Mus musculus: one gene and its partner. The protein of the gene in region 1 purifies or fractionates together with the protein of each later gene. This does not show direct contact. Links are inferred from orthologs where the notes say so. Each region holds a gene or a part of one and is shown in the gene's direction. Other genes may lie near its edges.

The links.
Region 2: the proteins of Gnl2 (region 1) and Srpk2 purify together in Homo sapiens (affinity purification with mass spectrometry; 3 studies listed by BioGRID and IntAct, with this or other methods). This does not show direct contact. The link is inferred for Mus musculus from reciprocal best matches to the Homo sapiens genes GNL2 and SRPK2.

Annotation. Positions count from the first base shown.
Region 1 is NC_000070.6:125,028,140-125,033,461, forward strand, and holds the start of Gnl2 (nucleolar GTP-binding protein 2), read left to right. Parts: upstream 1-1,874; 5' UTR 1,875-1,991; coding exon 1,992-2,055; intron 2,056-5,322. UniProt on the Homo sapiens protein: GTPase that associates with pre-60S ribosomal subunits in the nucleolus and is required for their nuclear export and maturation.
Region 2 is NC_000071.6:23,522,080-23,526,767, reverse strand, and holds part of Srpk2 (SRSF protein kinase 2), read left to right. Parts: intron 1-1,022; coding exon 1,023-1,272; intron 1,273-2,152; coding exon 2,153-2,620; intron 2,621-4,688. UniProt on the Homo sapiens protein: Serine/arginine-rich protein-specific kinase which specifically phosphorylates its substrates at serine residues located in regions rich in arginine/serine dipeptides, known as RS domains and is involved in the phosphorylation of SR splicing factors and the regulation of splicing.

The DNA of each region.
Region 1 (5,322 bases):
GTCCCAACAGAAAAGGCACTTGGTTGAAATCTGGGAAACAGAATTCCCTGGGTCTCATGGGGCCCTTTAGACAAGAGGTACCCCCCCCCCACCTCTGTCCTTATTCATCCAAGAAAGATTTAGTAAGGCCTTATTTTATGTCAGATGCCTGTTCAAAGTGTTTTTAATTTTTAAGCCCAGGGGACCTTTACATACTTAACTGCACCTTTGTGACAGTCTCTCTCTCTCTCTCTCTCTCTCTCAAGATAATGTCTCAGAGGGCTGTGGTGGCACACCGCCACACTGGAAGTGGCACACACTTTAATCCCAGCACTCTGGAGGCCAGCATGGACTACAGAGTGAGTTCCAGGGCAGCTAGGGCTACAAAAAGGAACCCTATCTCAAAACACAAGCAAACAAACAAACAAAAAGATAATGTCTTTTTCTACAGTTTGGCTTGTATCTTCCTATATAGCCCAGGCTAGACTAGCCTTGAACTCACGGCAGATAGTCTAACCTCAAATGCTGAGGTTAGAGGCTCATGCCAACACACTCAGCTTTGTTACGTTCTGGGGACACGGAGGTGAATAACGTACCTGATTTCCATTTTCCTAAGCTTATGGCCTAGACCCAAGAAAGCAGCCAATGCTCTTGTGAACAGAGTCATTTCGGGTAGTGGCATGTGCCGTGAAGTGAGGTGGGATGGAATAACAGGAAGAGAGTGGCTGACTTAAATCAGTAACTCAGCAAATACTTCTGCCAAAGGAGCTGCTGCCAGATAGATCAAGAGAATGTAGTTCCATTTAAAAACAAGTGAACAGTGAAAAAAATCTTTTGGTGTAGGGTCTCTCTATGTAGCTCAAGCTGGATTTGAACTTGTGACAATCCTCCTGCCTTAGCCTCTCAAGTATATCATGTTTCCTTAGATCCTTTAAGTTATCCTAAACGATGATTGGAATATAAGCTAGAAAGTGTGTTTATTTATTTTTAACCTGAAATTCAAATTTCACTGTCTTGTATTTTTTTTCTTGATGTTCTCCTCCCCCCCTCCTGCTTCCCCCTCCTCCTCCTCCTCCCCCTCCTCCTGCTCCTACTCCTACTCCTCCACCTTCTTGGAGACAAGTCATGCTATATAATGTGGACAAGTCTGGAACTCCTTCCTCTGCCTTTTGAGCATTGGTATTATAGGTGTGTGTCACCATGCTGATGAATTTGCTAGTGTTTGCAATCCTATGGATAGAGGATATTTGAGCAGGAACTGACCAGAAGGAACCAGCGATGCCGATTCAGGGAATGTGTGATCAAACAGAGCAACATTCAGTGTAAATGTCAGAAGAGGGAGAAATGAGGTCAGAGGAACGGAGCCAGATCACAAGTTTTGTAGGGATTGGAAGGAGTTTGAATCTGTCTCTCTTTGCGATAATAAACCATTGGAGAATTTAAAATCTCTCTCTCTCTCTCTCTCTGTCTCTCTCTCTCTCTCTCTCTCTCTCTCTCTGTCTCTCTCTCTGTCTCTCTGTCTCTCTCTCTTTCTTTCAAGCTGAGGCTTGAATCCAAAGTCTGTTGTTACTAAAAACTGCTCTACTCCAGCCTAAAATTTAAAGGCAGGTATGACCTGTTCTGATATTTGCCCGCTCTTGCTGGAACACTTTTAGAAAGGTTCAGAGGGCAAATTCCCATCAGCTCATGCACTGGGCCGAGAACAGGCTTCTCTCTTTTTCTCTTTCTCTCTTTTTCTCACTAAACCCAGGACTGCCCGGTGCCCTGGACGTTGCTATGGAAGGGACGCTTGACGGTTGCTAGACCCGGGGGAGGCGGGAGCAGGACAGAGGCGGAGCCGGGTCAGCCTTAGGCAAGCGCCGCGCGCTCTCAGGAAGTCGCGTAGCGCGAGCGGAAGTGACGTCGCGCGTGTTCAGGGTCCAACGTGCTTCACACAGGACGCTTTCCCGGCTGGGAAGTCGTGAAGTGGTTTACCTCGCGAGTAGCAGAGCGGTGTCGGTACTGTCGTCAGGATGGTGAAGCCCAAGTACAAAGGACGGAGCACCATCAACCGCTCGGCGGCCAGCACCAACCCAGGTACGGCGGACCGGGCGGGACCAGGCCGCAGGAGCCGTCGGGGACGGAGGAAGGCCCGTTCCGGCCTGGGCGGCGGACCCGAGGTCTAGGCACCTGCTCTAAAGTTGGGGGATGAGTCACGCCAGCCTCTGGCAGCCCCGAGGCCTCTCAGGAGGAGGTGTAGAGAAAGGCAAGTTAAAAGTGGGCTAGGGTCCTGGAGTCCTGGCACATGCCTGTCATCCCAGCACTTAGGAAGCTGAGGCAGAGGGGATCACGAGTTAGTGGCTATCTGGACTACAGGGTACAGACTGAAGACACAGAGTGGAGTAGGTTGGCCCAGGTGGCATTTTACCCTTAACCATAGCATTCGTGCCACCTTAGCTTTGACCGTGGAATCAGACCATGCATAAGCAACACTTCAGGTAAATATAGTGATTTCAATAGAGGTGGTTTTGAGATACGAGAAATTCCCATCTACAGGGCAAACAAAACAGGCTTTCGAGGAGTCCCTCCCACTTTGATTTAGCTACTAAAACTGTGTTTAAATATGGGTTAGTCATAGAGGGGCTTGGTGACGCATCCCTGTAGTTCCCAATACTGGGAAGGCAGGACAGACAGATCTCTTGTGAATTCGAGGCCAGCCTGGTCTGCATAGTGAGACTGTCTCAAACTGGTGGGGGGAAAAATTAGGTATACTCTTGTCTCCGTAAGGCTGCAAGGATAGCTGACTTCTGTATCTCCTTGTAATTTGCATAATTAGGGTTTTGATTAGATTTTTTTAAAAAAATGATGAAAACACTCAGAGACTGGAGAGAACATGGGGAGAATAAGAGCTCACTCGTACTGCTGTTGCAGGAGGACCAGAGTTCAATTCCAGTTCAATCAGCTCTCACCTACCTGGAAGTTCAACTCCAAGGGGAATCTGATACCTCTGGCCTTCAAGGCATCTACCCACATATATCCGTATAATGTTTAGTACTGTGTATGTAGCAGTACTAAAGGAGAACATGCAGGAAAGTTGCTGCGTTACTTTGTGATCTTTTATAACTGTATTAAGTCACATAATACCATGCATTTGGAAGATTCACTTGGGATTGGTTGGTGATTAGTGTGATGATGTTTCTAAGCAGGGGTTAAGTTTATCAACAGCTGAAAAATGTAGACGGAAACCTTGAGGGTTGGTAGGAAGAGGGACTCAGGAAAAGGATAGGTAGCCAGATGTGTGTGGGCCGACTTCTCAGGAGAGCCCTCCAGGGGTTTAGTTTGATTTTGGGTTCTCTCTTAAAATTTAGAGTGGGAGGGGCTGGAGAGATGGCTCAGGGGTTAAGAACGCTGGCTGTTCTTGCAGGGGACCTGCAGTGATTCCCAGCACCCATGATACAGACGACCATCTATCTGTAACTCCAGTTCCAAGAGATCTGCCACCCACTTCTGGCCTTCACTGACACGCTGTGTGTGTTTAGTGCAGAGACATGTGGGCAGGATATGGTATTACATATTATACTTACATATGAAGTATAAATAAATAAAATTATTAAAAATTTAGGACAAGAGAATTAGTTATGAATTCACAAAGAGGGTTTCTAGATATGCTGCTTCTAACCTCAGAAGCTGTGGGAATCAGTCCTATAAGCCATGATTTGTGTGAAATTTAACCCAACTTTTAGAACCCATCATCATCTCTTGAAAGTTAAGACAGGTGGTGGCTCACATCTTTAATCCCAGTACCTGGGAGGCAGAGGCAGGTGGATCTCAGTGAGTTTGAGGCCAGCCTGGTCTACAGAGTGAGTTCCAGGACAGCCAGGGCTACACAGAGAAACCCTATCTTGAAAAACCAAACCAAAAAAAAAAAAGACTAAAAATATTTTCTTTTTAAAAATATTTATTTACTTTATATTTGAGTTTTGCCTACATAATATGTACACTCTGTTTGCTCCTATAGATGGTTGTGAGCCACCTTGTAGGTGCTGGGAATTAAACCCAGGTCCTCTGCAAAAATAGCAAGTTCTCTTAACTGCCAAACCATCTCTCTGGCCTACTCCTTTAATTTATTTTTAGATAGGGTCTCAGTTTGTTGCCTCTGACTCAACGTTTGGCCAAGGATATCTTCTAGCTTTTTTTTTTTTTTTTTTAAGATTTATTTTATATATATGAGTACACTGTAGCTTCTTCAGACACACCAAAAGAGGACATCAGATTCCATTACAGATGGTTGCAAGCCACCATGTGGTTGCTGGGAATTGAACTCAGGACCTACTGGAAAAGCAGTCAGTGCTCTTAATCACCGAGCCATCTCTCTAGTCCCTGTTTTCTAACTTCTAATCCTTGCTTCTAGTGCTGGAATTAGTGGCTGTGCCACAATGGCTGGTTTGTGCAGTGCTAGGGATCACACACAGGGCTTTGGAGTGCTAGGCAAGCATTCTACCCATTTAACTACATGGCTATTGTGGACATAGTAGTGGTTACACTTTTTAAAGATGGATATTGATTTTATGTAACCAATGTAGATTATGACTAAGGATTAAAAATTAAATGGCAGCCAGACATGGTGATGCACACATATTCCCTATTTTTAGAGAAATAAAAGCACCAGAAGTCTAAAAATTCAGTTTGTATAAGACTGAATGAGAACCTTAATGTTTGATATTCCAAAGTCCCTTTTACTTTCTTCATTCTGGAGCAAGGCAAGTTAAATGAGAAGAATAGCATTCCTATATGTCAGAATCTTGAGTTACGAGTTGTCTAGATGAATGTGCCTGAGTGTGCTGTAAAGTTGCCATGTGGGGCTCTTTATGCTGCTGCTCAGGATGGTCCTTGAAGTCCTTATTTAAGAAAGGGTTCAGAAGCCAGGCAGCGGTGGCGCACGCCTTTAATCCCAGCACTTGGGAGCAGAGACAGGAGGATTTCTGAGTTTGAGGTCAGCCAGGGCTACACAGAAAAACCCTGTCTACCAAAGAAAAGGGGGGGGGGTGTTCGGAGCTGTGCATGATGGCACATATCTTTTATCCCAGGAGCCAGAGGCAGATCTCTTGATATTGAAGTCAATCTGCTCTACAGAGTGAGTTCTAGAACAGCCAGGGCTACACAGAGAAACCTTGTCTTGAAAAACCAAAAAGGAGAGAGAGGTGGAGAAATATGAGGGGGATAGGGTGGGGTCTGTAGTACACTGCTTTATTTCCTCATGTCAAGACATAAGAGGCAGGCTAATCTATATGAGTTTAAGACCAGCTGGGGCTACATAGTGAGACCTTGTCTCAAGCATCACAATAAAAAGGACAGATGGCCTGG
Region 2 (4,688 bases), on another chromosome or scaffold:
AGCATGTCAGAAGGAACTGCTCACTCTTGAGCTTCACAAATTATGTAGAAAATATTATAACCTTCATTAATTTAGAAGTGGGCATGTTTGTAAATGCTCTGTGTCATCAGAAAACCCTCATGACTTCCTGCCGTGGATGGGAATAGTCATGCTGCTGCAAAGCCAGGCTCCTCCTGGGCTCTCGAGGCTGCTGTTGGCCAAGTCTGTGAATTGCAAGGTTTTAGTTCAAGTTTAAAATATAAGTGTTCCAGACTCTTTTTTAAATGACTTCTTCTTGGCCTTCAAGTATCCTGTTTTGCCAAAAAACCATTTTAATCTTTTATAGCCAGCTGTTTAAGTAAGAATGAGCACCATCAATTCTGTGATCCTGTCGAATCACTGAGCAGTTGGCTCGGAGGAGTAGTTCCAAGTGTGGTGAATTGTTACTTGTGTAGCTCTCCCCTGGACTTTGGGGTTGGGTTATGGCCTCTGAAGCTTGGCAGGCACTCGTTGCTAGGCTTTCTGAGACTTATGGCTGTAGCTTGAGGCTGACAAAACTGTGGCTTTTCCTTTTTTTGATTTTGATTTTTTTTTTTATATTATCTGCTTATTTCTGAAAGTTCATGGTATATTGGCTGTTGTTCACAGCTTGGTATCAGAGCCAAACTCAGATATAGTGCTGTTGGCACCCGTCTTGGCAGGTGTTTGTTTTTATTGTTAAGGAATAAAAATGACCCGATATAGTCAGCAGCAAGGATTGCTTGCAAGAGAAGATTCTCGCTCAAAGCCAGGTGTTTCACCATGCTCATCTCCTAGACTTTTCTCCTAGAAGTTAGGGAGGGTACTAACAGTCTGAGCCCAGCCCTCCCCTAAGGTGGCTCTTCTGGCTGGGTTAGTGAGCATAACTGTGTAGGTTGTAGGAAAGCACAGTTGGATTCACTATGTTACCAATACTTGAACTCCTGAATAGTGTTTTAAAGAGTGCTTTTCTGACCCATGGCATCACACTTCCACCTGACCCACACTTTCTTACCATGTTGTAGATAGGAAAAATATCTAAAAACAAAAAGAAAAAGCTGAAAAAGAAACAGAAGAGACAGGCTGAGTTGCTGGAGAAACGCCTACAGGAGATTGAGGAATTGGAGCGAGAAGCCGAAAGGAAAATCCTAGAGGAGAACATCACCTCTGCAGAAGCTTCCGGGGAGCAGCAGGATGGAGAGTACCAGCCGGAGGTGACACTGAAAGCAGCCGACTTAGAGGACACAACTGAGGAAGAGACAGCAAAGGATAATGGTCAGTACAGCTCGGAGCAGGAGGGAGGGCTGCTGGGTGTGTGGGAGCTGCACACAGGGCTCATCTCTGAGCCACAGAGTGCCTTAGAGCATCTGAGCTGCCACCGCCATTGGCACTAAGGACGGCTTTCTTGAGCTTCTCGGTGGAGATGGGGGCAGCAAAATATCTGCCAGGTGGATGCCAACATCTCAAAGTAGGCTTTGAGAGGGAAGGAGGATGTCTGAGAAACGTGTTAGTGCTGTGATGACCCTTTCTTCATTTTGTGATTAACCTTTTCCTAACTTTAATGCAGCACAGCTCTTATTCTAAAATGGCAGAAGAAAGGGTTAATGGCTGGAAAAATGGATCAGTAGTCTTGCAGAGGAACCAAGCTTGGTTCCCAGTACTAACAGTGTCAGGCTGTTCATAGCCACTTACAACTCCAGCTGTAAGGGGGTTCACACACTAAAGATCAGGTACAGTAAACATCTTCAAAAAAGAAAAAGAAGGGCTTGAAGTGAAAGTCCAGTTTTACTTGTAATTCCCCCTACCCCCCAGAGCTAACTTGTTCCTGATGAGAGGGCTCATTATTAAATGAGCAGAAACAAGATTTAGAAAGCTCCCTTGCCTTGGCAAACAAAAGACATGTTCTGAGGTCCGTTAGAAGTGGCTCCTAGCCAGGTGTGGTGCATGTGCAGGCCTTTGATCCTGGCACTTAGGAGGCAGAGACCGCCAGATCTCTGAGTTTGAGGACAGCCAGAGCTACACAGAGAAACCCTGTCTCAAAAAAAAAAAAACAACTAGAAAAGTATAAAAAAACGGGTCTCTTGGTATGAGGCCTAACTAGAACTACTTTGAAAGGAGAGCCATGACTCTTGATCTTACTCTCATCTTCTTTAAGGTGAAGTTGAAGACCAGGAAGAGAAAGAAGATGCAGAGAAGGAGAACGCGGAGAAGGATGAAGATGATGTTGAACAGGAACTTGCAAACTTAGACCCTACCTGGGTGGAGTCCCCGAAAGCCAATGGCCATATTGAAAATGGCCCGTTCTCACTGGAGCAGCAGCTGGAGGATGAAGAGGACGATGAAGATGACTGTGCAAATCCCGAGGAGTATAACCTCGATGAGCCAAATGCAGAGAGTGATTACACGTATAGCAGCTCCTATGAACAATTCAATGGTGAATTGCCAAATGGACAACATAAGACTTCAGAGTTTCCCACACCGTTGTTTTCTGGGCCCTTAGAACCTGTGGCCTGTGGCTCTGTGATTTCAGAGGGATCGCCACTTACCGAGCAGGAGGAAAGCAGTCCCTCCCATGACAGAAGCAGGACAGTTTCAGCCTCTAGTACTGGAGATTTGCCAAAAAGTAAGTGCCCTTTTGCATCTTTGTCTGCTTGCTCTGCTTGCTCTTTGGCAGACACTGTGAAGGGAGTGAGAGGGCAAGAGAAACCCTTACATTTTAATGCTTGTATATTCAAGAGAAAATACAATGCTTTAGACTATATCTGTCCTTTAGGCTTGCTCTTACTCTCTGAAATCCTATCCCTGGGCTTTCTTTATTTATTGTATATTTATTGAATGACATCATAGTTAAAATGCATTGCACCATTACCAAACTCATACCTTTCTAGACACCAATCCTCTTCTGGCTGGTAGTAGTAGTTTTGGGTTTTCTTTCTCTCTAAGGGAACACCTGTCTGCTTTCAGCTATACCAAGAGAGAACTTGTGTTTTATTAGATAGTTGACCTTGTTTATACAATTCTCCTTCCTTCCTTCCTTCCTTCCTTCCTTCCTTCCTTCCTTCCTTCCTTCCTTCCTTCCTTCCTTCCTTCCTTTCTTTCTTTCTCTTAAATATTTATTTATTATATATGTAAGTACACTGTAGCTGTCTTCAGACACTTCAGAAGAGGGAGTCAGATCTCATTAAGAATGGTTGTGAGGGGCTGGAGAGATGGCTCAGCGGTTACAAAGCACCGACTGTTCTTCCAGAGGTCCTGAGTTCAATTCCCAGCAACCACATGGTGGCTCACAAACATCTGTAATGGGATCTGGTGTGTCTGAAGACAGCTACAGTGTACTCATATATACATTAAATAAATAATTCTTAAAAAAAAAAAAAAAAAAAAGAATAGTTGTGAGCCACCATGTGGTTGCTGGGAATTGAACTCAGGACCTTCAGAAGAGCAGTCAGTGCCCTTAACCTCTGAGCCATCTCTCCAGCCCCAAATCCTGCTTTCTTTTTGTTTGTTTTGTTTTGTTTTGTTTTTTGTTTGTTTTTATAAACAGGGTTTCTCTGTGTAGCCCTGTCTCTCCTGGAGCTCACTCTGTAGACCATGCTGGCCTCAAACTCAGATCTGCCTGCCTCGACTTCCCAAGTGCTGGGATTAAAGGTATGTTACACATCTGTGTGTTTAAAACTGAAAAGAGCCGGGCGGTGGTGGCACATGCCTTTAATCCCAGCACTTGGGAGGCAGAGGTGGTAGATTTCTGAGTTCAAGGCCAGCCTGGTCTACAGAGTGAGTTCCAAGACAGCCAGGGTGACACAGAGAAGCCCTGTCTTAAAAAACCAAAAAAAAAAAAAAAAGTATGTGCATCGGTGTTTTGCCTGCATGTGTGTCTGTATGAGGACGTCAGATGCCCTGGAACTGGAATTACTGACAGTTGGAGCTGCTGTGTGGGTCCTGGGAATTGAATCCAGGTCCTCTAGAAGAACAGTAGATGCTCTCAACACTGAGACACCTCTCCAGTCCCAGAAAGAAATCCTCAGAGAGAGAGAGAATGAGAATTAATTTATAATTGTAATGAGTGAGTGAGGAAGTGCTATCTAACTTAGGCAATCTAAAATTCTAGTGCAGAGAGATTGCAGTCCTCATCATTTTCATGTAAAGAATGCTTGGGCACTGTGAGAGGTGAACTTATCTGTTGATCGGCAGGATGCTGTGTAGTTGCCTTGCCTGCTTTATCTTGGCAGAAGTAAGTGGACAACAACTCATGCTTGGGCTCTACTGTCTCCCCCGAGAGCCCTGGGCTTTCTTTTGCTGTTCAAGCTTGCTCTGCAGTCCCTTTGGGAAGTTACACATCTTACGTGTGCATTACCCTGGTTTCTGTTCTTACCTTATGCTTGGTGTGCTGAACTCTTCCTGTGTGCCCATGATTTCCATTGGCTTCCCTGGCATTGCTGGTTCAGTCCCTGTGTGGTCTAACTACTGAGTCCTAGCAGCAAGTGAATCCTGAGCAGGAAATGGAGTGAGCTGTGGTATGAGCTGCTGTGGGTGAAGCAGCAGTGTGCAGGGCCTCTCTGGGTCTTAGCTTCCACACTGCTGTCGTGAGTTGATTGTCATTGGCACTCTTCTTCTTTTCTATCATAGGCCCTGAGTTGTAGTTTTTGTCAGATGACAAGCCTGGCAAGTGAGAACCTTAGTTGAGGAATTGC